Mus musculus: one gene and its partners. The protein of the gene in region 1 interacts with the protein of each later gene in a biochemical or structural test. Links are inferred from orthologs where the notes say so. Each region holds a gene or a part of one and is shown in the gene's direction. Other genes may lie near its edges.

Region 1 (4,292 bases):
AGTGACAAGAATCATCTGGGATGCTAGTTTAAAAAACAAAACAAAACGAAACAAGAAACCAACCCAGATTCTCCTAGAGCACACCACTCTCTCAATATTGGGGATAAAATCTTGGGCCTCATCAATGCTATGTAAGTATCTACTAGTGAGTTACATCTTGAGCCAACTCTTACAGCTTAATCCCTAATGTGGCAAACATTGGCTGGAAGTGCAGAAGAACTTTTAAATACTTAAACACACCAAACCAAAACTAAAAAACAAAAACAAAATCCCAAAAACCCAAACCCAGGGTTTCACCACGTAACCTCGGTTGGTCTAGAACTCTCAAGATATTTGGACATGGCTAGCCTTGAACCCACAGAGATCCATTTGTCTCTGTCTTCTAATGGAACCTGAAGCTTGCTGTGTGGTCTAGGGCGTTGACTAGGGAGCTCCTATGTCTGCCCACCACTGTTAGGGGTCCGTTGGTGCCAGCTTTTATATGAATGCTGGGGTTTCAAACATCCTTGTGCTTGCATGGCAAGAGCCTTTACCCACTGAACCATCCTCCCAACTCAGAATCTTTTTTGTTTAATAAACTCAGCACATAATTCATAATATGGTAGTTTCAAAGGTATTTCGAAAAGTTTAAGTGACTTTCTAGATAGTTTCCTTACGAGGAAACAGGATAAACAATAATAGCAAAGTTTGCTAATTATCACGTGCCTCTATTATTACCACTGCACAGCCTATTAATTCGGTAGGATTAGATGTGTTTTGCCTGGGTTAAGAAGTTTAATTTAAGCATCTGAAAAGGTAACCAATGGCATCTTTCACATAGTTTTGTTGTAAACGTTTAGAAGTATGCTTTTCAGTTTTTATAACTCATGCCGCCTTGGCGCTGTCAAGCTGTCACCCTCCTAAGAACTTCCTGTCAAAAGGTGGAGAAAGGAGAATTTGAACCCAAACAGTGTAACTCCAGAAGGATAGAACCGGCACAGTGCTTCATAAATTGTGATTCCTGCTGTTAGGAGTATCAGGAGAGAACTTGATAAAAATGCAGATTATAAAGCAACCCCTATTCCATCCCAGATCTACTGAGTCAGAAACTGGCGGTGGAGCTCAGCAGTCTGTTTTTAAAAGCTGTTCAAGTGATTCTGAGACACGCTAGCATTTGGTAACAGTCTTTAGAGGTCCTGGCGGGGAAGAAGGGGTCAAAAGGAAGGAACGAAAGAAGAAAGGAAAGAAGGGAGAAAGGAAAGGAGAAAGGAAGGAAGAAAAGAAAAAAGCCTTGGAGATGTAGAGAGCAAGGCTTAGTGTCCACTTCACCTGGAGGTGAGGAAAAATGATTTAGGAGGCTGGCGCGCAAGGCCTGCTGGGGCCTGTAGTCCGGACTGCGCCGAGGAGGCCGCGCCTGCGCACTAGGTGTGAAGTAGCTCTAGTCGCTGTAGTCGGGGCTCGGGACCGGCTGCCATCTTAGCGGAGGGACTGAGGAGTCGTCGCCGCCCCGAGTCCCGGTAAACACGCGCAGGCAGACTGGGGTCATTTCTGTGGCTTGGAGGGAGTTTGGATGAAAAGGCATGGGGAATGCGAAGGGTAGAGGAGTGTGGCGCTCGAGTCTGGACCTAGAGCCGGGGCTGCTCTTCCCGCAGCCGGTGTCCGTGGGGGGCGCCCGGAGAGCCGGCTGGTGGCCCGAGCCGAGTGGCGGGTGGGTCAGCAGGTCGAGCCGAACTGCTAGTGCTTGGCCTAGGCGTCCGGAGCCTGTAGGCCCGCGAGCCCCAAGTTGGGAGAGAGCCGAGCCGCGGCGGACGTGGGCAGGGTCCAGCCCCGCGCCCCGCTGCCGCGCCCGGGGGTTCCTCTCCCGCGGCCCGGCCTACGCGCGGGGCCCGGTGGCAGCGGCCCGCCCGCGCGACGTGGCCCTTTGAGGGGCGGCGGCCGGGCCCACCTGCCACCTGGCAGGCTCCCCCCGAGACTTTTCCAAGCTCCCACTCGCAGAGGACCTTCCCCAGTGACTGCTTCCCCTTCTGTCTTGTACTTCCCTCCTCCCTCCATTGTCCCCACTCATGGTGGTCCCGGCCCAGGCCGGCGCCACCGACTTTTGCAGACGTGGAGCTGTCACAGCCCTTTCTACCGAGAGCGTACTTTTCTTGAGCAAAGAAAAAAGTAGAGGTGAGCGCATTTGAAAGGTGGAAGCCCAATGAGGGCAGGACTTTTAAATAGAAGACTTGAGTTTTGAGACATAGTTCCCGGCTGCAACTTCAAGAGAGAAAAAAAATATATAAGGGTCAGTGCACCCGAAGTAGGCATTGGGCCTAAAGTTAGAGATGTGACCAGGTGACTTGCAAAGTACCCCAAATTCACAGTTCCCCACTCGCTTGTTTTCTTGGCTGTGTTAGAATCCTAATCCTGTTGAGACTTCTGTTCCTCTTTAAGCTGCAGTGAACTTGTTCTAAAGGGGGCAGTGGGGAGAAGAGGGAGGTTTTCTTCTTCACAGTTGACAGAACACCATCTAGCCACCCATCATCATTCTCTTAAGTGGGTGGTTCTCCTGTATCCTTATCTTAAGAAAGTAGGTAAAGGCTGTGTATGTTCACTCCCAGGATTGGCAGAGGGCTTGGTTCTCATCTGAAATAAAGTCTTTTGGGGGCAAGTTTGAGATTCAGCCTTGTGTATCACAGGGTTACCTAAGGCTTAATTTTGCAGGTTTAAAAAAGATTGAAATTTTCTTTTGAACAGTGAATATACTTTGTATGTGTGAGTTCAGGAATTCAAACTTCAGATGTCAACAAGGATATATATACTATGAATCCAAAAGCAAGTGCCTAATACTTTTTACTGTATTCTAGAGTAAATTCTACATTCTTTAAAACAAACAAACAAACAAACAAAACAACAACAAAGATTTACTTAAGAGACAGACTGATCCATGGTCCCAAGGTTTGGCCATTAGTGTAATTACAAGAGCTTTTAATTTTTTTGTTTTTGTTTTGAGACATGATTTGCTCTGTATCGCTGACTGGACTAGAACACACTGTGTGTAAACCTAGGCTGGCATCAAACGTCATTCTGTCTTCCTGCCTCTCCCTCCCAAGTGCTGGGATTATAGGTGCTTAACCAACAGAGTGGGCTCGGGAGAAGTTTTGAGATTTGTTTATTTGTGTGTGTGTATGTGTGCATGCGCACACCATGACTTGAGTTGGAAGTCAAGAGTGTTTCCTCTTTCCTGTGTGTTCTAGGGTTCACACTCAGGTCATCAGGCTTGCATAGCAAGTGACTTTCCTTGCTGAGCTATTTTGCTGGACCAGGAGAGATTTTTGAAAGTAGAGTTTTCAGCTCAGTTGGTAGAGTGCTTGTTTACCACACACAAGGCCCAAGTTTATTTAGCTCTCAGAAGCATTGGGAGGTGAGGCCGCCTGAAGTACTTGAGACCCTTTTTAAAAAAGTAGATGCTCTCAGGTCTCAGTTTTGAGATAGAATAGTGGGTCTGGATTGGCTTCTATAACTTTACTTACAGATGGGCTGTAGGTAGTTGGGATGGTTTTGGGAACACTGAGGCAAATCATAGTATGGTTATAACAAAGACAGCACAAAAAGCTTTGAGATGGGGGAGGAAGTGGAAGTGGCCTGTGTGGGATTGTTGAGGGAAGTGGCAAGACCTATGTATGAAGGTCAACATGGTTAGTTCCAGGCCATCACAGCTACCTAGTGGGTCCTGGCTCAAAAAAGGGTTAGTCTATGGACCCGAGGTTCTAGAGCAGTGGTTCTCAAGCTGGGTTTTGGCCCCTTTGGCAAGCCTCTAGCTCCAAAAATATTTACATTGTAATTCATAACAGTAGCAAAATTACAATTATGAAGAAGCAGCAAAAAATAATGTTATGGTTGGAGCTGGTAAGCCCCATGAGGGACTGTACAGCATGAGGAACTGTATTAAAGGGTCACAGCCTTAGGAGGGTTGAGAAGCAGTGGGTTAGAGGATGAGTAGGAATGGGGCAGAGGTGAAGAAAGGGAAGGAAATACCTTACTACCTCGAGGCGTGTGTCAGTTAGGAAGGTGGGAGAAAAGGAGCGCAGGGTGTGGGATGCAGGGGCCTCAGGACCAGGAGGGCAAAAGGACCTGTTCTGGAAAAGCTCTGCGTACAGTGCTAATGCTCGTGAATTTGATGTCGTGAGAGATCAAGGCTTGGGGAAAGGAAGTGGTCTAAGTTGGTGTTTATTTAAAAAAAAAATGGCTCTGATGATAAAAGTGAAAGGGCCAGAGTGACTGTGGCAGAAGTGTCCCTTGTAAGTGACAGGCTGGCCTTGGCTGGGTGTTTC
Region 2 (3,644 bases), on another chromosome or scaffold:
TGCAGGTGGTTGTGAATTGTCTTGTGGGTGCTGGGAATTTAACTTATGTCCTCTGTAAGAGCCCTGGTGTTCTTAACCACTGTTAAGGGGTGTTTCTAGCCCCTATTTTATTATTTTTAGTATATGGATATTTTGCTTATATGTATGTCTGTATACCAGATGCATGCCTGGTATCCACAGAGGCCAGAAGAGGGTGTTAGATTTTCTGGGACTGTAGGGTGTAAACTCTCATGTGAGTACTTGGAATCAGCCAGTGCTTCTAAAGACTTTTATTTATTTATTTATTTATTTATTTATTTATTTATTTATTTTATATATGTGAATACACTATAGCTGTCTTCAGACACACCAGAAGAGGGCATCAGATCCCATTACAGATGGTTGTGAGCCACCATGTGGTTGCTGGGAATTGAACTCAGGACCTCTGGAAGAGCAGTCAGTGCTCTTAACCGCTGAGCCAGCTCTCTAGCCTACAGCCAGTGCTTCTAATCACTGAGCTATCTCTCCAATGTGTATCTTTCTGTGAGTCTGTTAATTTTCATTATTATATCACCCTCCCCCTTTAACATTTTTATTTGCTGAACCTTGACCATCTTACTAGAATTTGAGAGGAAGACAGCTGTAAATGCTGAGATTAAGGAATTGGAGAACTAGAAGAAAGAAGGCATGTCCTTTGAATCAGGGACAGCAGTGAAGGTTGTAATGTTAAAAAATGTAAAATATAGTTAAATATAGCTTATATTCCTACTTAGTTTTTTAGGTGGCTCTTGTACATTTGGTAAAATCTATAACATTCTCAAAAGTTAGTAGATTACATTTAGGAAATCTCCACGTAAGTAATATAATATTATATATATATATATATATATATATATATATATATATATGTATCACATTTGTAATAGACTATATGTAACCAAATTAAAACAATTCTTATTCTATAATTTTACAGTTGATAAAAATGGTGATGTTTGCATTTCTATTCTTCATGAGCCTGGGGAGGATAAATATGGTTATGAGAAGCCAGAGGAACGCTGGTTACCTATCCATACTGTGGAAACCATCATGATTAGTGTCATTTCTATGCTGGCAGATCCTAATGGAGACTCACCTGCAAATGTAGATGCTGCGGTAAGGTATTTGCCTGATAGCTGCTGCTTCTGTCCTTTACTCTTTTAAAACTCAACTTGAAACTTAATACATATGTGCATTTCTTTGTCCATATTTTCATACAAATAAAAATTATTATATATACTGGATTATTTTGTACAGTCCATGTATAATAAATTATTTTGAAATATATAGGATAAATGTGGTTATGAAAAGCCAGATATTGTATAATATGTACTGTGCCATAGCAAATTTGAACTAGTTGGCATGTATTAATTCCCTCATTAATTTTTATAGTAAGAACAATTAAAATCTACTCTTTTTCATTAGTATTCAAAATAGTGGATTTCATTATGTTATCATATATTCATAAAATTATCTTGTAGTTGTCTTGGTTTGAGGACTTTATTTTTAACTTTGAAAAAATAAGAATTAAAAATTGCTGTTGTCCCTGCATTCTTTTAATGGTTATTTATTATAAGAAAGAAATATAGGCTAAGTATTTTTGTGAGCATTTCCTGGTATCTACTTGTTTATTAAAAATTGGTTTTGTTGTAATTTAACTATGTTGTTCATGCTGGTACTGGTGTCATTCAAGGAGACAGCCATTGTTCCTACTCTTACAGTGTGCATGCGAGCGACAGGGGGGGAGGGGTGTGGAGGGAGAAAGAGAAAGAGAGAGAAATAATCTGTGTTTTGATTGACTTTTGCTTGTTTGGGGCTAGGTGCCTTATCTATCCTGGCTCTTTCAAGACAGCCCTGGGGAGTGGATCCTCCCCAGCATGTGCTTCTTCAGTCCCTAACTCAGTCCTCAAGCCCTCTAGCTACTTAGCCATTTCACTACCCACCCTTTTTCTATTTTAAAAGAGAATTTTTCCAGTAGCTGTCATTAGCATAAGAGCTTTCTATTTGTAGTTCCTAGCCTAGTGCTTTACAAAATTTGCTTTTGTACCTCATCAACTTTTTGGCAGGGATAGTATTAGGCTCTGGACCTAGGTCCTCATATGCTCTAGTCAAAGGGCTCTCAGCACCTGAGCTGTATTGAAAATACTATACGGGGCTGGTGAGATGGCTCAGTGGGTAAGAGCACCCGACTGCTCTTCCGAAGGTCTGGAGTTCAAATCCCAGCAACCACATGGTGGCTCAAAACCATCCGTAACAAGATCTGACTCCCTCTTCTGGAGTGTCTGAAGACAGCTACAGTGTACTTACATATAATAAATAAATCTTTAAAAAAAAAAAGAAAAAGAAAATACTATTCTATGCCTTGGAAAAAAATTGTGGAGTTTTTAGGATTGATTTAAAACCAGGTTTAAAACAAGCTAGGCAAGTATGCTACTACTAAGTTACAACCCTATCATAGCATTTTAAGATGTATAATCACACCCTGTCTCGGGGAAAAAAAAGATGTATAATTACAAAAGGATCATATTTATAATTCAAATAGGCAGTTTTGATTATAATAGGTTTATATAAAATAATTTGATTTTAATTTTGTATCTGCAGAAAGAATGGAGGGAAGACAGAAACGGAGAATTTAAAAGGAAAGTTGCCCGCTGTGTAAGAAAAAGCCAAGAAACTGCTTTTGAGTGATGTTTATTCAATAGTTAGTAACTTCACTTATTTCAGGGTAAGTTCATTTTAAAACTGTGCAACTCTTTAACTTTTTTGCTCAAATGCTAGCCTTTTTTTTTTGGAGACAAGGTTTCTCTGTGCAACCCTGGCTATCCTGGATCTCACTCTGTAGACCAGGCTGGCCTCGAACTCAGAAATCCGCCTGCCTCTGCCTCCCAAGTGCTGGAATCAAAGGTGTGCGCCATCATGCCCGGCACTAATTTTTGTAGATCATTTGATTTTGCTATTTGATTTGTATATATTGGCTCAATTTTATTCTTCCAGTTCCGTATACTGTAGTTTGCTGCTTCTCAGAGCTTTTTTTTTATCTTTTGGAGCACTTAAGTATTTTTACGTAGATGTTCTGAATTAAATAGTTTCATGTTAATAGTCTCCTTATTTTCACTGGTAGTAATGAAAGATTTTTAACTTTTTATTTTTTAAATGCTGCTGGCAATTAAACCCAGTTCCTGGAAAAGGGTACCCTATCACTGAGCCTGTATTGATGGTAAAATTTCTGGTAACGAAGATGTCAGTTGGTTCTTCATTTCACCCTTTCTATTTATCTTCATTTACCTTTTTAAATGGGAACTGAAGTATCTTGGACCCTCTTATGCTGAATATTTTGTATGGTGAGCCCGCCCCATAGCCCCCCCCCCCCCCCCCAAAAAAAAAATAAAGATCTGAAAGCTAGTAATGAGCCCTTGCCTAGTGTTCAGGAAGTCCTGAGGTCAGTCCTATTCTAGCTTTTTTGTTGCTGTGATAAAATAACCAACTTGTTGAGTTCTTAATTAGGGTTTCTATTGCTGTGATAGCGAACTTTGATCAAAACACAACTTGAGGGTTGGGGATTTAGCTCAGTGGTAGAGCGCTTGCCTAAAGGCCCTGGGTTCGGTCCTCAGCTCTGGGAAAAAAAAAAG
Region 3 (3,950 bases), on another chromosome or scaffold:
GGCAGCTACCTCGAGTTCCTGGCTCTTAGTTTGCCGCCCCAAGACTGCACTGGTCCCACCTCTTCCTGTGCCCTAATATGGGTGCTGGGGAGAGAAATTCAGGGGGGGGTGCCCCGCCCCCAATCTAATTCACGGACTCCAGCCTGTTGCCTTGGTGACGAGGCCCCGCTCCCAGGCTGCATCCCCCTCCAGCCGGCCAATGGAACAGTCCTCGGCTGCCAGGCTTATTAGTCGCCGATGGTTGCAGGCTGAACCATTTCTAGATGGGGGAGATCAGACTATGACTAGAAGCGTCTGTAGCTGGGTTGTGACTTCCCCAAGGGTCGCTTGCCGAGGTTCCTCTTCCCAGGCGCAGAATTTGGCAGGCCCAGGGTAGGGTGCACCATCCCCTAGGCTCACAATGACGAGACAGGGCCGGGCTCTTTCCCCCTCGGGGCTGTTGCCACACTTCCTGCCTCGGCTCTCTTTCCCTAGCCTGTTTCTAAGGAAGGGAGTGGGGTTGGGCGACCGCACCCCAGCTATCCCGCCCCATCGGCCCTCCAAAAGCTGACAGGATATCGGGCGAGCCCCGGGTGACTAAGGGAGGGCTTTGGGCTGAGGTACTGGGCATGTCAGTGCCCTAGGGACCACCTACGAGGTACAGCCTCATTCGTACAAGTCCTGGTCTCTGGGATCCTCCGAGTCATCTTCTCAGGAAGATCTCAGATACCCTCCTGTCATTGCCTTCATAGCTCGGAAGGAAGCTATGTCGTGACCATTTTAATTCTCTGCCAGAGTTCTGCAAATATCCACAATGACCCCAACCTTTGCTAGATATGTTCCCATCTTTCTACTCCGATTACCTCAGCGTCCCCAGGACCTTTGTTCTGAATATCTAAATTGACCTCCCCAAAATTCCTTCCCTTTTCCACTTATGGGGAAACCCTCAGACTCATCTATGGACTCTAGAGCCCCTACTCATTTCTTGTACAATAGGTACCTGAGCCCTGTTGTGTCTTGGCCCTTTCCTCCCAACTGACAATTCCAGTTCTTTAAGCACTTTGTACCCGGGACCTCTGGTTAATTCCTAGGCCAAATGTTAACAATTGCCCCTGTTTTGTATCTTCTCTGTTTTCTGGGGTCTTCTACTGTATTGTCAGTTCACAAGCCACAGCTACCCTGGGTCCCACGAGACTTTTCCGGGGATATCCTAAGGTATCCAATCTCCACTTGCAGTGTATCTCATAAGCACCTGGCTGTACTCCCGCAGTTCTAGCCCCTATGTGCCTCGGCCCCTCAACATCCCTTTGCTTGTGTGTCTCTGTCTCCACAGCCCCTCCCCCTGCAGCCGCGCAGAGCCACCCGGCTCGTGGCCGCTGTTTACAAGGACACGCGCTTCCTGACAGTGACGCGAGCCGCCTCCTCCCCTTCCCCACGCTCTAGGAGGGGGCCGCGGGGGCCTGGCTCCCGCGTCGGCCAATCGGAGTGCACTTCCGCAGCTGACAAATTCAGTATAAAAGCTTGGGGCTGGGGCCGAGCACTGGGGACTTTGAGGGTGGCCAGGCCAGCGTAGGATCCTGCTGGGAGCGGGGAACTGAGGGAAGCGACGCCGAGAAAGCAGGCGCACCACGGAGGGAGAGAAAATCTCCGGAAGCCCAGCAGCGCCTTTACGCACAGCTGCCAACTGGCCGCTGCTGACCGTCTCCAGCTCCCGAGGACGCGCGACCGGACACCGGGTCCTGCCACAGCCGAGGACAGCTCGCCGCTCGCCGCAGCGAGGCCCGGGGCGGCCCTTCAGGGGGACCTTTCCCAGATCGCCCAGGCCGCCCGGATGTGCACGAAAATGGAACAGCCTTTCTATCACGACGACTCTTACGCAGCGGCGGGATACGGTCGGAGCCCTGGCAGCCTGTCTCTACACGACTACAAACTCCTGAAACCCACCTTGGCGCTCAACCTGGCGGATCCCTATCGGGGTCTCAAGGGTCCTGGGGCGCGGGGTCCAGGCCCGGAGGGCAGTGGGGCAGGCAGCTACTTTTCGGGTCAGGGATCAGACACAGGCGCATCTCTGAAGCTAGCCTCCACGGAACTGGAGCGCTTGATCGTCCCCAACAGCAACGGCGTGATCACGACGACGCCCACGCCTCCGGGACAGTACTTTTACCCCCGTGGGGGTGGCAGCGGTGGAGGTACAGGGGGCGGCGTCACCGAGGAGCAGGAGGGCTTTGCGGACGGTTTTGTCAAAGCCCTGGACGACCTGCACAAGATGAACCACGTGACGCCCCCCAACGTGTCCCTGGGCGCCAGCGGGGGTCCCCAGGCCGGCCCAGGGGGCGTCTATGCTGGTCCGGAGCCGCCTCCCGTCTACACCAACCTCAGCAGTTACTCCCCAGCCTCTGCACCCTCTGGAGGCTCCGGGACCGCCGTCGGGACTGGGAGCTCATACCCGACGGCCACCATCAGCTACCTCCCACATGCACCACCCTTTGCGGGCGGCCACCCGGCACAGCTGGGCTTGAGTCGCGGCGCTTCCGCCTTTAAAGAGGAACCGCAGACCGTACCGGAGGCACGCAGCCGCGACGCCACGCCGCCTGTGTCCCCCATCAACATGGAAGACCAGGAGCGCATCAAAGTGGAGCGAAAGCGGCTGCGGAACAGGCTGGCGGCCACCAAGTGCCGGAAGCGGAAGCTGGAGCGCATCGCGCGCCTGGAGGACAAGGTGAAGACACTCAAGGCTGAGAACGCGGGGCTGTCGAGTGCTGCCGGTCTCCTACGGGAGCAAGTGGCGCAGCTCAAGCAGAAGGTCATGACCCATGTCAGCAACGGCTGCCAGTTGCTGCTAGGGGTCAAGGGACACGCCTTCTGAGAGCCTCCCTTGCCCCATACGGACACCCCCAGCCTTGAAGGCTGGGCGCCTGCCCCCCACTGGGGTGAGGGGGGCAGGCGATGGGCACCCGCCAAAAGGCCTGGGGCGCAGCTCACACACTGGACTCCGGCCCGCCCGCCTGCGCCCAGTCCTTCCACCTCGAGGTTTACATGGCCCCCTTCCAGCGTATTTTGTATGTTTTTTTTTTCTGCAAAGAGACTGAATTCATATTGAATATAATATATTTGTGTATTTAACAGGGAGGGGAGAAGGGGGCTGTCGCGGCGGAGCTGGCCCCGCCGCTTGGTACTCAGCCTGCGGGGATACTAGGGAGGGACCTCCGCCCCCTGCCCTCCCCCTCTGCATAGTACTGTGGAGAAGAAACACGCACTTCGTGTCTAAAGTCTATTTTAAGATGTGTTTGTGTGTGTGTGTTTGACTTTTTATTGAATCTATTTAAGTAAAAAAAAAATTGTCTTTATTAATTTCTGTGGTCTCTTTTTTCTTCCAAGCTGGGCGGATGGAGGGAGAAGATTGGGCTACCCCAAGCACGGTGCTGTTTGTAGCTCGCTCCTTTCAGGTATCATAAGGTTCAGTACAAACGCCCAGACCTCCTATCCCCTGAGTCCTGGCACCAGACGCTGCGCAGGCGGGCAGTGGCGGGGAACAAGCTACCCAGGACAAAACGCGGAATGTGCAAGCATGACCCCGCCCAGCAGAGTGCGCCGGGGCTTTCCCCGCTGACGTTACGGAAGCTCTGCCCATATATGGGCCTATTCAGCTCAGTGACGCCAGCGCGGTCTCCGGGCAGATTCCGGGAATCCCCTCCCCCCCGCTCTGCCGGGCAGGGCCGCGGCGCCGGGAAGGGGGCCGGGATTTTCCCGAGCAGGCGGCTTTCTGGGCGCGGAAAGCCCCAGGCCCGGGTCCAGGGCGCCCGCGGCGGGAGGGCCGTGCTCTCATGAGCCCTGGGAGCCATCCGAGCGGCTTTCAACAGACCGGCGCCGGAGCCCCACCGCGCCCACGCCCCCTCCATTAGACCGACCCTGGCGGAGAGTAACTGCAGCCTTCCTGTAGTTGCAGACGCCGTCAGGGCAACTCCTGCCAG
Region 4 (4,101 bases), on another chromosome or scaffold:
TTGATTATAATGTATTCCTATATATGAAACTCTTAGGGTAGTTCAAAGCAGCCGTGTTTTTATAAATATAACTAATACATAAAGATATATCTAAAGTTAAAAAATTAGAGACAAAGATAGCCCTACTGTTATAATCAACTGCAGAATACTAACTTGGAAAAACGATGAAAAAGCAACAGAAATTGTAACATGCTTTAAGGAGTGAAGGATTCTTTCCAGTCCCTCATCCATGATGGATGTGTGCTTAGTACTGATTCTAGACAGCTAGATAATGATAAAAAAGAAACAGCCCCAGACTAAAAAACAGAGCTATATTCTATGGAAGACAAACACTCTTGCCTCAACAAAGCTCATAATATGAACTGTGTGATAATGGTTAAGAAAGCTGGCTTAATAGACTTGCATTCCAACTTTCCCCCTCATCGGCTCAGGGTCTGTGAGTAAAACAGTGAATCCTTTTGCAGTTTCCTCATCTGTGAACCGCTGCTTATAGGAACTCCTACACCCAAGTGAGGGGAGCTCCGAGTTAGGCAAGGCTAGCTCTCTCTTGCCTCAGCACATGCTCCTGCTATCTAGATAAATCCTTCAAGTTTTGACTTTGATATCACTTTCTCGGAGCTGTAATAGAGTTTCTGTATCAACAGAAAAACTACTTATCGGCCCTGTACATTAGGCTCTAATAAAAATAACCTAATCTTAAGATTTAGGGTCAGCAGCTGGGTGGTGGTGGCGCATGCCTTTAATCCCAGCACTCGGGAGGCAGAGGCAGGCGAATTTCTGAGTTCGAGGCCAGCCTGGTCTACAAAGTGAGTTCCAGGACAGCCAGGGCTATTCAGAGAAATCCTGCCTTGAAAAACCAACCCCCCCCCCCAAAAAAAAAGATTTAGGATCAGCAATTACTTTTTGTAAAGGGTAAGTAAGACATAGTCTTTAGAGTTTGCAGGCCACGCCAGAAGGCAAAGGCCGTGTTATAATAAAACTTTATTTGAGGATATTTAAATGTCAATGCACGTACATCCTCAGGGTCTGGACTGGCGGGATGAGGCCCCTGCCCTGTGGCTGCCTGACCCCTTACCTCTGAGGATGGCAGTTATGAAGGGAACTGAAAGAAACCTCAACCCTGCAAGAAGGCGACTTCAGCGACTCCGGAGTAGCTGCGGCGGGGGCGAGGGGCGCGGCTGGGCCCGGAGGGGCGGGGTATAGTGCGGAGGGGCGGGGCGGCGCCGCGTCGTCGTCGTCGTCCCCGCCTCCTCCCCAGGGGCCGCGGCGGAGCCTTGGCGGACGCGCTCAGTGCCGGAGGAGAACGTCTCAGCGTCGGCAGCGTCCGTCCACACACGCCCCGGCGCGTACCTTTCGGCCTCCCGGCGACCCCCAGCCGCGGCGCTCGCGCCCGATCAGCTCTCTCGCTCGCCCTCCTTCCCTGAGGCCCGCTGCGCCATGGCCTTGGCGTTGGCGGCGCTGGCGGCCGTGGAGCCGGCCTGCGGCAGCGGGTACCAGCAGGTGAGCGGCCGCGGGCCCGCCCCGCCCTCCGCCGGCCACTGGACGCCGGGGCTTTGCAGGCCGCGCCGGGCCTCGGCCGGACCCCAGGGCCTGGGCCTGTCGTGGCTCGGGCCAGCCGGGAGGGACCTCGTTAACCCCGGTTGCCAGGTCGGGCGGGGCCCGGAGGCTGAACTCGTGGCGCTCTAGGGGCTGCGACCAAGAGGCATCAGTTTTTCCTTCTCTCAGCTTTGGTTTGATGTCATTGGAAAGTCAGGGGGCGAGAAAAAAAAAATTTTAAGCAAAAAAGATAAAGGAAATGGGTTCAGAAGAAAAGATCCTAATCACCGGTACCTCCGCTGGCGGCTGTCCGCAGCGAGGTGCGATTAGTCAGGGTTTCGGAGCCTCGTTTCTGTCCAAACCCATCCCCCTCGCTCCCTTTAAAGATTCGAGTCAAAAAAGAAAAAGAAAAAAAGAAGCGAGAGAGGAGCCCGCAGCTTTCAATCGATTTTGGAAGAGGCGATGTTTGGCTGGAGAGGCCCCAAAATGTAGGGCTACGTGAGGCTGCAGGGCGTGTGCCCGGATGTATTTTGCACGCTTAGAAATGACGTTTAAGAGATTTAATAGCATATCTAGGGAGGAAATATATCCAGATGATTGGATTATTATCTGCTGTGTGATTCTGTAAATTGAGGCCCTAGGGAAAAGAGATTTTTCTCCTCTCCCGGTGTGTGACTGGGTTTCCTCGGGAATTTAGAGACTCTTTTTGTGGAGGGAAAAAAAAAAGGTATTAATCTAAAATATAACGTAATCGTGGGAGTTAAGCCAGGAAGTTGTTGATAGAACCGCAGGCAGCTGCTTCTGTTTTGTCAATTTCAAATGTTTTCAGTATTACTTGCATACAAAAATGCCAGTCCTGCTTTTTCGACATAAAATGGCGTGAATCAAGAGATCTCCGTTTACTACGTTGTAGAAATAAAACCAGAATGATTAAAGCGTGTTGCAGATTAACCCTGTCGGGACCAGTTGCTGGTTTGTTTTGCTGTCTTCAGCGTTGCGTTGTAATCCGCCCTTCTTCCCGCCCCCGCCCCCGCCTCCGCCTCTGCCTCTGCTCCGACTCCTGAAATGACTAGTTAAGAATTTAGCCTCTTGGTTTCATAAACGCCCCAAATTCTGGCCTTGCAGACTGATCTTTATGTCTTCACAGCCTTTATTCTATGACCTTGCATGAGGTTCCGGGTGCTTCCTTGCTTTAATAAATTCGAGTCATAGATGTCATTAGACTTTCATCGACGTGTTTACAAATCCTTTGAACCTTATAGCATCAGTCTTTTCATTCCCGACTTGGATGGGCAGAAGAGCTGTGGGTTTTCTTTGTACTGCCATCTTACTTAGCTATGGGGTAATGCTGGTTGACTGCTATAATACAGAAAATTTGTTAAAGAGTATTAAAATTATGCTTTTGTTGGCTTATTGTTTAATAGCTCTTTGATTATGCAGAATTTAGGTTATGTTAGAGATGGGCCATCTTTAATATCGTTATTCTCAAAGTAATTAGTTTGCTGGGCATGGTGGCTCATGCCTATAATCCCAGCAGTTGGGAGGTTGAAGCAGGAAAATTGAAAGTTCAAGGCCAGCCTGGACTGCCAAATTAGTTGCCACCCAGCATGAGATACAGGAAGACTCTGCCTTGACAATAACAAAATACATTTGAAAAAATAATCTTCAATAAAACATGAAAAAAACCTTAGAAGAAATTATAAAACATTGAAGCCAAAAAAGTCTAGCCAAACACAAATCTATTCCCAAAAGTTAATATGTGGGCACATAGTCTTGTAGATGAGAGCTATGTAAATATGCAAAAGTGTGATCAGTGTGCATGTGCACAGAGAAGGAGTGCTGGTGGTGACTGTGTACCAGTCACAGCAGACATGGTTTACAGCCATCTTTACTGAACCCTTACAGCACTTAGGAGGAAGGGTTCGTTCTCATTTTATAGATGGCAAAGTCAAATCTCTAAGGGTCTCAGCGACTTGCGCAAGTTCACAAAACTACTAAATTATGATAACAAGAGTGTTCATTTACTCACCTGTATAGAGGCTCATGCCCCCAAAGACAGGCTGTATCCATTAGCAGATACATAAGTATACACGTATATTATGTACTCATGAATGTAGGCAGGCACATCTTTATACATTCATGCAGTTTCGTGCGCTCCTAATCACACTTGGATGTGTCCATTGTCTCAGGCATGTGCATTTACTTTCATGTGTTTTTGTGCACATACACATGTACAAAGGCACACAATCATTAGTAATATTGGATTTTCTTTTTCTTTTTCTTTTTTTTGTTTTTTAAGACAGGATTTCTCTCTGTGTAGCCCTGGCTGTCCTGGAACTCAGAAATCCACCTGCCTCTGCCTCCCAAGTGTGTGCCACCAGTGCCTGGCAATGTTGGATTTTCAAATCTCCTGGTTTTCTTTTTTTCTGTTCAGTGTTGAAGGTAAGGCCTATAACCTAGGGCCTTTCCCTTTCTACACAAGCCCTGTACCACTGAACTATATCTTTAGCCCCTCTGTCAGCTAGTTTTAATGCCTGTGTGGCATGAATTGTGTGCCTGAGCCAT
Region 5 (4,157 bases), on another chromosome or scaffold:
TGACTATGTTGCCAGGTTGTGGAAGATAGTGGGGAGAACTAGAGTGGTCAAAGAAGACACTTTTGTGATCGAACAGTTGGAAGGCTCCCAGCAGCTGTTGTTCATGCTTCAGGCCAATATAGTCCCACTATTCTAACAGAAAGCACAATCCTATCCAAAGCGTTAGCAGAATGACACCTCTACCTTGGGGTAGGACTCACCTGCTTTTCTGCCTATCTTATTAGTTTGTTTTTCAGAGACAGGGTCCCATGCACATCAGGCTGGCCTCAAACTCACCACGTAGCCAATGTTGACCTTGAACTCACCTTTCCTCTAGCTCTTGAATACAGGGGTTCTAGGTCTTTTGTCAAATACCCAGCTTTGCTTCTGGTCTAAAAATGTTTCCAAATTAACTTGAATATCAGTGAGAAAAACAATAGAGAAAAAGTGGTGTAAGCCGTATCAATCAGAACCGAAGTTAGATAGACCAAAAAGACATGTTCCTTTGGTCTGAAAGTTACTGAAGCAGACACAGTGAGCACTCCTATAATTCCAGCACAGGGAAAGCAGATGAGAGACTTCTGGGAGAGCACAGTTGTCTGATACAGAGCTGTTGTGTACTAGGAGATGAATCTGATGTACATATGTAGCCTGGCCTGCAAGAAAAAAAGATCCCTTTTAGGGAGACTAATTATTAACCAACAGGACAGTCTCCCACCTAAGGACCCTCACCCCACACACACTGGCAATAAATAAATAAATAAACAAACAAATAAATAAATAAATAAATAAATAGGACAAAAAAGAATCCTTTGTCCTAGAGCATCTGAGGCAGGGGTTGGCGGGGTAACTCATTAAAGGATACCTCTAAGCAGCTAGCAGCCTCTCATCCCCAAAATAGTTCCCTTAGAGCCCAGGCTTTCTAGAAGTGAAGGTTGTTGCCCTAAGCAAATTGGACTCAGATACCTGGTTCTTACTGCCTGCTGCCTTTTGCCTTGTTATGACTTAGTTTCCCTGTCGGTCTTTAGGAGACACCACCTGAAAGAAAGAGGAGGCTGCGGGCCATGTTTATTTAAGCTTAGGAGTCTCTTGTGAGTGGACCATCGACTGTGAAGTCAGCCCGAACAAACAGGGAATGAACTGTCCTGGACCAGCTGGAGAGGGTCTGAAGCCTGTGAGCCCCGGGTGCCCCCGCTGCCACAGAGAGGCGGGGGCGGGGTGCAGCAGAAACCACACCGGGCTCAAGTTTCCTCTCTTGGCCAGAAGGGGCAGGAGGAGAAGAGGGCCACGGGGAAAGGGAAGGGTTGGAGGAAGCACTGGTAACTCCGACCGAGGGCTTCGGAGAGACCGCCGGTGCGCCCGCTTCTACCGGGGCCAACCGGTGCTCCGCGCCCAGCCATGGCCCGGGGGCGGGGCTCGGCCCTCAGTAGTACTCAGAGGCAGCGCTCAGCGCCCAGGAGGTGTCAGCTCTGACCCAGCCTCTCAGGGACACTACCCGCAGCCTCATCTCTCTCCTCGCCGGGCTTGGAATCCGCCACAGGTGCCTGAAAGGCGAGTCTGAAGGGACGCCTCAGTGGGCTCTGGGGAGGTCAGGCTGGGCAGGTGGAGGAGGTACAGGGAGGAATACCTAAGTTTCTGTCTGGATGTTTCTAAGACATCTTCCTAGACTATACCTGGTGTAGGAAACTGATACATTAGGAGTAATAATACTACTTGGAGATACTTTTAGATGACTTCCTGGCTGTTCTAGGACCCTTGGGGTGGCTGGGGTGGGAGGTTGTAGGTGGGGGGGCTACACAATGCTTTACTAAATAGCACCCTGGAGGAGCAGGGGAGTGAACAGGAGGAACCCTTCAACTGGCCTGCTGACTGGGGGAGCTAGTAGGCTCCAGTAATATGGTGCCACCTTGTACCCTTCCCCATGGTATTCTGTAGCCCCGACCATCTGAGATTTGGGGGAAGCGAAGGGACCATAAATATGGGATGTCTGAACTTCTGAAAAACCTTGTTACAGCAAGGTGGGGGGGTTGGCTGAGTGGTTCCCCGTTGCCTCTCCTCCTGTACAGTCCTAAGCTGGACCTGAAAAGAGGAGGGCATTCAATCTCAGTGTAGATGCTTCTATGGAAACTCTTGGCTGCTAGTAGCAGGAGGTTGAGATGCTATGGGAGAAAAGAGAGCCACCAGATCTGCGGACTGCAGCCTCTACTTATTGCTTCCAATGAGCCAGAGTTCTAGGGATAGAGTCACTGGAGAGCAGAAATTCATTCCCTTTTCCTTGTTTCCAAGCATCATGTTGATATATATATATATATATTCCCAGGGGACTAAGCCTTCGTGGTTCAAATCTTCCCTCTTCGTTCTATTGACTTCTTCTCTATTTTGCCTCTGCGTGCCTCTCCCTTTTGAGAAATTCTCCGTAATCTTTGTAACAAGGTTGCTTACCTGCTAATTTACACACCAAGTTTTACTCATATCTCTCTAATCCTTCCTTTGTCTGTGTTGACACCAAGAGAGGTGGGGTAACCTAATAAGCCTCAATACAGTACCCTGAAGCAAGCTCCCTGTCAAAGAAGTTCAAAGTCTTAGGCTAGCAGTGGAAGCCAAAATGTCTTCTTCTACCTCTCCAAATGATCCTGTATCCCTAGAAAGTTTTGTAACCTGTGAAGTCTTTGGAATCATGAGAAGATCTTTGGAAGATTCTAAGGATGTAGCTTGGTGGTAGAGTGTTGGCATGGCATATTCAAGGCTCTGGGTTGGTCTGGAAGGAGGGAAGGAGAGTAGGCAGGTAGGACCACCAGAGTGAAAAGGAAGAATGGAAGTTTCTGCAGTTGGCTCAAGTTCTACCAGATCTACAGTGTGGAGGATCGAAGGGGATAACCACCCCAGTAGATCTGGTGGTTTTATGACCTGAAGAGGAAGGCTAAACTGTAAAACAAGAGCAGTGTTGCTAAAGAGCCCCTGGAAAACTAGCTCACATTCCCTGTCTCTTTTCACTACCCTCTCTGGTATTCTTTCTGTCTGGCTTCTAGTCTGTCCTACTGGCTGCAAGCTTGCTGGTCCTCTGAAAGGCAGGCTCCCAAGATCCAAAGGGCCTGTGCCTGGTACAAGCCAATGGTCTGGTGGTTTCCTTTATGAACCTCTGCTCAGCCTCCAGCCTCTTCCTGCCCCCTCTACACTCTTTTTTTTTTTTTTTTTTTTTTTAATCTCAGGAACAAGAAGACTTACTTTCAGGTCTTCATAGGAAAGGGCTGATAGCTAGGTACCACTTGAAGTCTAGCTTTGCCTGGGTTTGTAGCTAGATGAAGAGTATAGACAACTTGCTATTCCCCTTTCCGGCTTTATGTTCTTTCCTGCAAATTCATCTAGATGTGTGTTTCTTGAGGTGAGTCTGGCCTCCTCTCTATGTCTAGGGCATTGTTGTTCTTAGGGGCCTGCACATCCCAAGGCATCAGGCATGTTTTCCATACACCCCAGGTAAATGTGGCTGACTAGATGCAGCTTGTTCCTTCTACAGTTGTGAATTTCTCTACTCCTGTCTCCATTTAGCTGGAAACTGTGATGCAATTTGTCCAAGGCCATACATCTTGAAGGCTGGAGAATCTTGCCTACTAGGGCAAGATCTTTGTATAGTACCTCAGATTCAGATCCAGGAAGACAGGTGAGACAAAGAGAGGTAGACTGGGTGAAGAACTTTGATGCAACAGTATAGTCCCTGCCTACCCAAAAACTCCTTCTTCATTCACTAAGCCTTTGGGCAATTTCCGCCAGAACTTGGGTGGGGAGGGTGGAGTTCCGGTGTTGAAATGGCATCCTGGACAGACATAAACACCCCACCCATTCTACCCGTTGGTCAAAGGCCTGTCTATATCAACTCCCATTTCTGGGGATGGCTTTATAGCAAGAGGGTGGAGGCAGAGCCTCAGGCAGATCAGTTGTTAAAAGGACACTTGGTAGTGGCTATACATTTTGTGGTAGGTCCAAGAGGAGACTCCATAATGAATAGCAGGAGGAGCTATCCTTGTGATGGGTCATATAAAGTCATACAATTTGAGGTCATACAGCCCTATCCTCTGGTCTTCTGTAAGGCGTTTCTTTTATTTATATGATGTGTAGTGTGGATGTGAATGTATGTACATGCTGTGCTGTCTGGCCCTGAGATATCAGGAGAACCTTGCCAA
Region 6 (3,644 bases), on another chromosome or scaffold:
GTAGGTCACCGGGGGAATCACTGCTGGCTCCTGCTGGCCACCAGCTGGAAGCTAGGATTCAGGGTAGTAAGAATAGGTAGAGATGCTCAGCGGGAGAAACTGGGTGTGTTGATGGCATGCTGGATTTCCTCATAATAGTGTGAGGGCCATGGAGCATAGCTCATCTCCGAGGACCTTCTGCCTCTGTATGCAGAAGTCATGGAAAGATCCAAGTGGCTGTCCTATGAGAAATCCAAACACCGCTCTAAATCAAATGCTCCAGGTTTATGAGTAGGGGAAGGAACATCATAATGCTTCGACATGACTGTTTAGAAGTATATAGATCTCCCAAAACCCATAGATACCCATGGCACTAAAGCCTCATCGATCTGTTTTAGGAGAATACACAGAGAGATCTCTAAGAGTACCTATTCCGATACAATTCTTTATAGCAACAATAAATTCACCAAATATGTTTAAAGGTGATGAACAGAGGAGGTGACCCCATATACATCCTTGAGGGGGTAAATACAGGACTCTGCCCATGGCACACTGTCACTGTATCGTGACTCCACTTTGCTAGTGGTATACTCATGCATAGCCGAAGGGAGCTTCTGAGACGCTCCATCCCCCACTCCTCAGGACCCTCTATGAGCTAACTTTCTTCCAGACTGTAGTTTTCAAACAAAAAGCAGAAATGAATTAGCAAGCAAAATGCTGCCTTTAGAAAGGTACCAAAGGGGTTCCCCAGGCTGAAAGCATCCTCATAGGACATACCGGTCACTTCCTTCTCTAGCTCTTACAGTGAGCTTGTCTGCTTTTTGCAGGACCAGAAAATCTATATCTACAGCCTTAAGGGTATGTGCCCATTAAGCGTGCCCCAGCAGGCCCTGGACACCCCAGCTGTCGTCACCTGTTTCTTGGCAGTACCTGTTATCAAAAAGGTAAGGTGGGGAGAGGACATATTCAGGTCTGTCACCAAGTGTGGGAGGATCTCCTTGCTGAGAACAGTGGAGTCACACCTTTCTGGGCCACCTTGCCCAGGTCATAGCCAGCTTTAGAGACACAGGCAACCACCGTTAACCTGTGCCTACCGTCCATGAGCAAATGCCAGTGCCCCTGGCTTAGATGAGGCTCACGCTGGTGCGGATGATGAAGCAAACACGTGGCTCCTTCTCTTGATAAAGGCATCAGGAGCCTCTCCTCTGCCCTGGCCACTGATTTTTCTGATTAGTGGGCGTAGCTGATTCCCTTTCATCTGCCTCTGCCTTCTCTCAAAGACTTGCTTTCCTTCCCAGGCCTCAGTCCTTCATTGCCCAGCATTGCCCAGCATTGCCCAGCATTGCCCAGCATTGCCCAGCATTGCCCAGCACTGCCCAGCATTGCCCAGCATTGCCCAGCACTGCCCAGCACTGCCCAGCATTGCAGAGCAGACCCACTTCCTCGCCCTCCTAACCCCATTCACTCAGTGTGCTCCCCAGCCCCAGCTCCACCGCACCTTGGCATGGAATCTAGCCTCACTAGGGCTGGCAAGGCCACCTCTTGACTGGCCCTGGGCCTTCTCCTCCAAACAGTAGACACGGGAGCTTCACCTTCTCTTCTGGTGAACTGTCAGGAACTCCTCTGAGAAGTTGGGTGGCACTGCTTGCTCTCCCAAGCTCTGCTTCCTTCCCTGGATCCAATCAGGTCACAAGGGGCCTGTGGGTAAAACGCGTGCCTTCCACCAGTGCATAAGCATCACTTCCTAGCACAGCTTTTTATAATGTGCGGCCTGCCCTTATGTGGTCCCCATTTGTCCGCCTAACATGAGGATGATTGAGTAATGAAATAGGTCTCTGGACCTATGGAGCCCAGAGTTCCAGGCTGGGTACTTGGAGCTAAAGGTTGCTATGACTTTGTATGTCGCCAAACCTGTGAGCTTTTCTCTGCACCCTGATCTAGCTTCATTTCTTTATAAAAGGGACAGAAAATGGGTATGAAATGAACCTTACAGTCATTTATGACTGTAGCCCCAGGAGCACCCTAGGCAGCTGGGATCTCTACACCAGAGGCTGGGAGAAACGGACACAAAGCATTATTGAAGGGCCCTGACAGCCAGAGCCCCAGCCAGGGCTCACGTCTTGCCGGAGCAGGGGAAATAAAGCGGACTCTGTGTGAGCCTCCTGCGCAGGGTGCCTGCCCCCGTGGAGGTTGACCTGCGGAGGCCACACAGGGCAGACCGTGCGTGCATTCTTGCACAAGCACGCTCACAACCCACCGAACGTGGTGTTCCCCACGCCGGCCAGCAGGGCCAGGATCCAGAAAGACTTATGGCCTGTTTGCTCTGGCTGCTTTATTGACCTAGATCCTGAAGATGGATTTTGAGAAATTTTCCTAGGGCTCCTTACTGTGGATGTTGTGTGAGAGGCCACTCACTCTACTACCCTGAACAGCTGCCCACCCCGCTCCACACAGGCACCCTGACTGCTAACAAAGTGGCTTTCTGCCATTCCCCCTGGCTAGATAGAACAAGGCTGGGGTCCTGTCATGAACTCTGACTTGGTTCTGTGGCCCTTTTCCTGACCCACTCACTCTGTATCTGCTCTGCTCTGCTCTGCTCTGCTCTGCTCTGCTCTGCTCTGCTCTGCTCTGCTCTGCTCTGCTCTGCTCTGCTCTGCTCTGTGAGACACCCCTGGAAGCCTGTATTTGGCTTTGTACCTGCAGCTTTGGCTTCTGCCTAGTAACCTCTGGCGGTGGCTACAGAGGAAACGGTGCTTCGTGGTAAGTCAAACTCCTCAGTAGTGTCAGCCCAGGCTCTTCAGAGTGTGGATGTGGGCACATGGGACCAAGACATGCCAGCAGGAGAGTTAAGCTAGAAGCTCGTTCTTCCAGGGTCATAGATTGTCCACTTGATGGAAACAGTGGGATCCCGGGCCACAGAGGTGTCTCAGACTTAACCCTTTCCTGTGCCAGTGCAGTGCCCAGGTGACAGTGGTGGGCACAGAGACCTGCCCCCTGCTTTTCTGGAGTTCTCCACCGTGTGAGCAATAAACAGAACTCATGCCTATAACAGCTGTCATGTTAATAAGCTATCTACAACAGGGAGAGCATTCTGCCCTGCCTTTCATGAGGCCTTCATGGCATCCAGGAAAGGCAGCTCCCCGCTGCTCCTCCAGCAAGGGACCAATGCCAGGTGGTGGCACCCTTGCTTGATGCCCTCAGCACTATGGGCACTGTTCTCCCTGGCTTACCTCTTGCCTTGCAGCACCAGTGGTGGGTGTGGCTTTGCTGGGGCAAGGCTACATCATCTCTGGACAGAGTCCTGAGACCCCTGAGCAGGCCAAGATTTCAAAGGCTTTACTTCTCTGAGGCACTATGGAAGATCATGTGACCACTTGAGGCACATAGAGAGATGAGTCTGGTGTCTGTGGTTTCTCTCTTCGCATGTGTGACATGAAAGAATATTGTGTGTCCCTGTCCCTTCCCCCCACAGAACTCCTTCCTGGTGCTGGCAGGCCTGGCTGACGGACTCGTGGCTGTGTTTCCTGTGGCACGGGGCACCCCAAAAGAAAGCTGCTCCTACCTGTGCTCCCACACAGCCAACAGGTCCAAGTTCTGCATCCCCGACGAAGATGCACGGCAGAACCCTTACCCAGTGAAGGCAATGGAAGTGGTCAACAGTGGGT
Region 7 (4,395 bases), on another chromosome or scaffold:
GATTCGGGTGCTGGGACTAAAGGCGTGTGCCACCAGATGTGGCTATGGATTTTCTTTTACTGGATTTGTTGCTGTTTTATCTTTGTGGGACAGAGTCGCTGGACGGTTTGGAATTGAATACACAAACAAGGAGCCAGGGCTCAAACCCCCAGCCGTCCTCTCACCTCTGATCCCTGATTGCGTCATTACTAATACCCATCTTGGACTATGCTCTTTAAAAACTGCTGGGCTGGCTAGGGACATAGTCCAGCTTAGAACAGTGCTTTTCGTGATGTGCATGAATACTGGACTCAACTGATCATCATAACTTTGTAAACCCAGGCTCGGTGGTACACACCTGTAATCTCAGGACTCTTTCTCAAAAACCAAACAAACAAAAATCTGTAGCCATTTGACTTTTATTAGTGTGCACCTAGAAAAACAAACAAACAAACAAACAAACAAACAAACAGACAAACAACCCCAAAGCGAACAGAAGGGTCTCTTGCACTGTGAGTTAATAATGTACCTGCCATTTCCCAGAACTGTTTTACTCTGCAGCTGAGGCTGGTCTGGAAATCATTATGCAGCCCAAACTGGCCTCAAATCTGTGGCAATGTTCCAGGATGTAGGGCACCATGCTGTCTGCTTCAAACCAAACACTGGTGTCTTAAGGTTAAGGGTAGGTACGCTAAGATGCCACCCAGAAACTGAAGAGTTCTCCCAACCCTCGACAGCCCTGCGAAAGATACAACTCAGAGGTGGAGTTTAGATTCACTACAGCGCAGTGGGGAGACACCCACTAGCAGAAACGAGTCAGTGGTATTTTCAAAGTCCTACCTGGCGGTTGGTCATGTGCTTTGTCAGTCCACTCAATTATTCTAGGTCCTGTTTAAACCCTGCTGTTTAACTTCTGCAGCGGGATCCGCTAGATCAGAGCAGGAAGCAGCGCCATCGCGAGGCGGCAGGCGGCAGGTGCTGGGCGGGGAAGAGGGTGGGGAGCGGACCGCTCAGTCCCCAGAAGTTCACAGTCCGACTCTGGGTCCGGGATCTGGATCTGGGTCGATTAAAGTGGCGTATTTTATTTTTTTCGGGCTTTGCCAGTCCACTGTAGAAGGGACTGCATCTCGCACTGCTCTGTAAGTTTGCAATGAATACCCAAATGTAAGCGCGAACTACTCATGACAGTTGCGGAAATGAAGACGGCTGGTTACGTAATGTTTAAATGTACCATACACCAGATCATCAAATTTAAGTTACATTTCTTCGATTGAGTTTGCTTAACATGAGGAAGCTAGGATGAGAGAGGCGTACAAATGTTTAAGTAGTCTTGTAAATATAATCTCTAGCCTGGCCTATAATATAAAAAAAGACTACAAATTCCAGAATGCACTCGTCACTAAACGCAGGGCGAGGCCGCGGTTGCCGGACCACTGCCTGCTGGGAATTGTAGTTGGCTGCTTGTTTGTGATGCAGGTGCAACTTGGGGGAGGGAGAGCGGGAGTAAACTCTCCCCACGTGACAGTCCAGATCAGGTGGTTGGTCAGCCTGCGCGCAGGAACTATGATTGGCTGACTGTAATACGAACGACGCCACTAGAGGCGGGCCAAAGACCAGCGCAAGCGCAGAGCGTTGCGAGTCTCGGGACCCCAGTGGGAGAGACTATGGCGCTCAACAAGAATCACTCAGAGGGCGGCGGAGTGATCGTCAACAACACTGAGAGGTGAAAACACGGCGGAAGGATCCTGGAGACTTGAAGGGCGGGTGTCGGCCACTGTGTGTGGTGGGCGGTGGGATATGGTGGAGAAGGAAATTGATGGAGCGCTGTGGGGGGGGGGGCGTGGGGGGGGAGGAAAGAGGGAGAAAGGGGTGGTAACGGCCGGAGGCGGGGCTGGAGGGAGTGGGTGGGTCGTTGGGGAGGGCCGGAGTGCTGATCAGCTGGGGTGATGGGTGGGGGTGGGGCCAGAGAATGGTGTCAGGGTTTGTTTGGGAAGCCGAGTGAGGCCCACGGGTGATTTCTTGAACCCCTTCCCAAACGAAGTCTTAAAACATAGTTGCTATTTATTAGGCGTTCACTACGTCTTTACTATGCTGCGTCAGCTCTACCTTAGGTAATACATAATCCTGTGCCGCAGAAACTATTAGACACATTTTACAGGTAGGGCAAGTGACGCCTAATGAGGTTAAAATAACTTAGACCATTGTGCTGTGAGTAACAGAAGGGGAATTGAAGGAAGGTAACTTGGCCCCAAAGTCAATAGGCTTAACTACTCCTGTACAGTTTTCTCGTATATTCCAGAACTTCTCAAGTTCCAAAAGAAAGGCTGAGGCCCTAGAGGTGGTGGAACTAAATGTCTGTCAACTACTTAACCCGGTGACCCTTATAAAGGCTTGTCTCTTGCCTGGTTCTCTTGAATTCTTAATGGCTTGTGTCAGTTCCCCGAACAAAGGTCTCCCAACTTTAAGATTCTTTTTTTCTCTCCCCTCCTTGAACTGCTGGGCTTCTCTGTTCCTCTTGTTTCTTGTTCCTTGGAATTCTGACTCTCCTGACTTGCACTATCCGGGCTTGGATTAACTTGAGAGCCAAGAGAGACATGATGGAGGTCAGAGCCCACACCCAGTGTAGACAGGCACCCATCTTGGGACTTGTCACCTGGGAAGCTGACTCAGAGGAGAAGGTGGCAGTGACAAGGCCAGGTTCTGCTGACCTCGTGTGCGTAGGTCTTGGGAAGGGGCTGGCCAGCACATGTGCCTGGTGACCACTTCTTTAACCTGAGCTGCCCCTCTTTTATTGCACCAAGAAAGGATATTTGGGACAGGAGGAGACAGCTGAATGGAACCATACGAACTCAAACCTTTTTATCTTGTAATCTGAGAAACCTTACATTGTTTTCTGGTATACTTTGTCCAGTTCTTTGGCTGAGCCAAGTACTCTGATGCCATCTAATGACTGTCCCCACTTCTACCAGTCTCTCTGGTTTTTGAGGTATGGTTTCATTCCTGTAGCCCAGGTTGGCCTTGAATTTGAGGCAGTCCTCCTACCTCAGGCTTTTAAGTGCAAGGAATTCACCAGGGCTCTTTAGTTTCATTATTTGGGAGTGATTCCTTTTTGTTTGTTTTTCCAAGACAGTGTTTTTTGTGTAATAGAGCCCTGGCTGTCCAGGACTCACTAGGTAGTCCAGGCTGGCCTTGAACTTACAGAGATTCACCTACCTCTGCCTCCTGAGTGCTGGGGTTAAAGGCATGTGCTACCATACTGGGAATTTTTTGTCTCTTAAACTGAGTCTTACCTAGGTGGTATCTACCCTCCTGGGCCTCAGCACCTGGTTCATAGCTCATTGCTACCAGTAGGGTTCTAAGGAATAACTTGAGCCACACTTCTGAAACAAATGTGTCAGCAATAATTGAAGTTTAAGTATGATGCTCAAACTTTGGAATTTAAACTTGTAAACATTAATCTTTAATTCACAAACCACTGATAGAGATAAGAGCTGTGAACTTGCCGGGAGGTGGTGGTGCATGCCTTTGGTCCCAGCATTCAAGAGGCAGAGGCAGGCAGATCTCTGTGCGTTCAAGGCCAGCTTGGTCTACAGAGTGAGTTCCAGGACAGCCAGAGCTACACAGAGAAACCCTGTCTCCAAAAGAAAAAAGAAAAAGAAAAGTTGTGAACTCTTCCCAGAGAATTGAGTACATACACACACAAAGACACACACGCACTCGCGCCCCTATCTTAAGGGCTTTATGTGCAGAAGTTTTCTGCTGCTGCAGCTAGAGAAGCTTGGACTAGGGGCTGGAGAGCTGGTTTAGCAGTTAGAAATACTTCCTGTTCTCCCAGAGAACCCAGGTTTAGTTCCCAGCATCCATATGGAACAGCTCACAACCACATGTAACTCCAGCATCAGGGGGTCCAAAGCAAATATAGAATCATATCTTTTACATACATACATATATACATACATACATTGATTGATTGATTGATGCTGGGGATGAGCCTGGAGCTATTTACATATTAGGCTTGTATTTATTTGTTTGTTTTGAGACCATTTTTCTGTGTAGCTTTGGCTATCCTGGCACTTACTCTATAGACCAGACTGGCCTCGAACTCACAGATCCACACACCACTGCCTCCTTGAGTGCAGAGATTAAAGTTGGGCCATCACAACCCGGCGTAGATTAGCTTTTACAAACACTGACAAAAGAGCTCTGGCTGGGACTGAGTTGGTGGAGTGCCCTCATAACCAGCACACGCCCAAGGCTCCGCCCTAGCACCTCAGGAAACCAACAGCTTGGGAGGTGGAAGCAGGAGGGAACTTAGCAAGTTTTGACCAGCCTGAGCTATAAGAAACCCTGCCCCCAAAACACCCCCAGACAGAACCCCACTCACAGGACTTGAGAGCGCACTAAAGTGTAAACCCA

What was found.
Region 2: the proteins of Itch (region 1) and Ube2g1 form a complex in vitro, tested with the Homo sapiens proteins (2 studies listed by BioGRID). The link is inferred for Mus musculus from reciprocal best matches to the Homo sapiens genes ITCH and UBE2G1.
Region 3: the proteins of Itch (region 1) and Junb form a complex in vitro, tested with the Homo sapiens proteins (2 studies listed by BioGRID, with this or other methods). The link is inferred for Mus musculus from reciprocal best matches to the Homo sapiens genes ITCH and JUNB.
Region 4: the proteins of Itch (region 1) and Ndfip1 form a complex in vitro, tested with the Homo sapiens proteins (2 studies listed by BioGRID). The link is inferred for Mus musculus from reciprocal best matches to the Homo sapiens genes ITCH and NDFIP1.
Region 5: of the proteins of Itch (region 1) and Nfe2, one has a biochemical effect on the other in vitro, tested with the Homo sapiens proteins (2 studies listed by BioGRID, with this or other methods). The link is inferred for Mus musculus from reciprocal best matches to the Homo sapiens genes ITCH and NFE2.
Region 6: the proteins of Itch (region 1) and Lrrk1 form a complex in vitro, tested with the Homo sapiens proteins (2 studies listed by BioGRID and IntAct, with this or other methods). The link is inferred for Mus musculus from reciprocal best matches to the Homo sapiens genes ITCH and LRRK1.
Region 7: the proteins of Itch (region 1) and Wbp2 form a complex in vitro, tested with the Homo sapiens proteins (2 studies listed by BioGRID). The link is inferred for Mus musculus from reciprocal best matches to the Homo sapiens genes ITCH and WBP2.

What each region holds. Positions count from the first base shown.
Region 1 is NC_000068.7:155,132,090-155,136,381, forward strand, and holds the start of Itch (E3 ubiquitin-protein ligase Itchy), read left to right. Parts: upstream 1-1,391; 5' UTR 1,392-1,496; intron 1,497-4,292. UniProt on the Homo sapiens protein: Acts as an Acts as an E3 ubiquitin-protein ligase which accepts ubiquitin from an E2 ubiquitin-conjugating enzyme in the form of a thioester and then directly transfers the ubiquitin to targeted substrates.
Region 2 is NC_000077.6:72,676,753-72,680,396, forward strand, and holds part of Ube2g1 (ubiquitin-conjugating enzyme E2 G1), read left to right. Parts: intron 1-952; coding exon 953-1,131; intron 1,132-2,616; coding exon 2,617-2,703; 3' UTR 2,704-2,740; intron 2,741-3,644. UniProt on the Homo sapiens protein: Accepts ubiquitin from the E1 complex and catalyzes its covalent attachment to other proteins. In vitro catalyzes 'Lys-48'-, as well as 'Lys-63'-linked polyubiquitination. May be involved in degradation of muscle-specific proteins.
Region 3 is NC_000074.6:84,976,290-84,980,239, reverse strand, and holds Junb (transcription factor jun-B), read left to right. Parts: upstream 1-1,491; 5' UTR 1,492-1,810; coding exon 1,811-2,845; 3' UTR 2,846-3,331; downstream 3,332-3,950. UniProt on the Homo sapiens protein: Transcription factor involved in regulating gene activity following the primary growth factor response. Binds to the DNA sequence 5'-TGA[GC]TCA-3'.
Region 4 is NC_000084.6:38,417,677-38,421,777, forward strand, and holds the start of Ndfip1 (NEDD4 family-interacting protein 1), read left to right. Parts: upstream 1-1,230; 5' UTR 1,231-1,437; coding exon 1,438-1,500; intron 1,501-4,101. UniProt on the Homo sapiens protein: Activates HECT domain-containing E3 ubiquitin-protein ligases, including NEDD4 and ITCH, and consequently modulates the stability of their targets. As a result, controls many cellular processes.
Region 5 is NC_000081.6:103,252,523-103,256,679, reverse strand, and holds the start of Nfe2 (transcription factor NF-E2 45 kDa subunit), read left to right. Parts: upstream 1-1,240; 5' UTR 1,241-1,530; intron 1,531-3,525; exon of another isoform or gene 3,526-3,637; intron 3,638-3,869; exon of another isoform or gene 3,870-4,157. UniProt on the Homo sapiens protein: Component of the NF-E2 complex essential for regulating erythroid and megakaryocytic maturation and differentiation. Binds to the hypersensitive site 2 (HS2) of the beta-globin control region (LCR).
Region 6 is NC_000073.6:66,262,704-66,266,347, reverse strand, and holds part of Lrrk1 (leucine-rich repeat serine/threonine-protein kinase 1), read left to right. Parts: intron 1-806; coding exon 807-923; intron 924-3,451; coding exon 3,452-3,644.
Region 7 is NC_000077.6:116,084,174-116,088,568, reverse strand, and holds the start of Wbp2 (WW domain-binding protein 2), read left to right. Parts: upstream 1-1,573; 5' UTR 1,574-1,643; coding exon 1,644-1,702; intron 1,703-4,395. UniProt on the Homo sapiens protein: Acts as a transcriptional coactivator of estrogen and progesterone receptors (ESR1 and PGR) upon hormone activation. In presence of estrogen, binds to ESR1-responsive promoters. Synergizes with YAP1 to enhance PGR activity.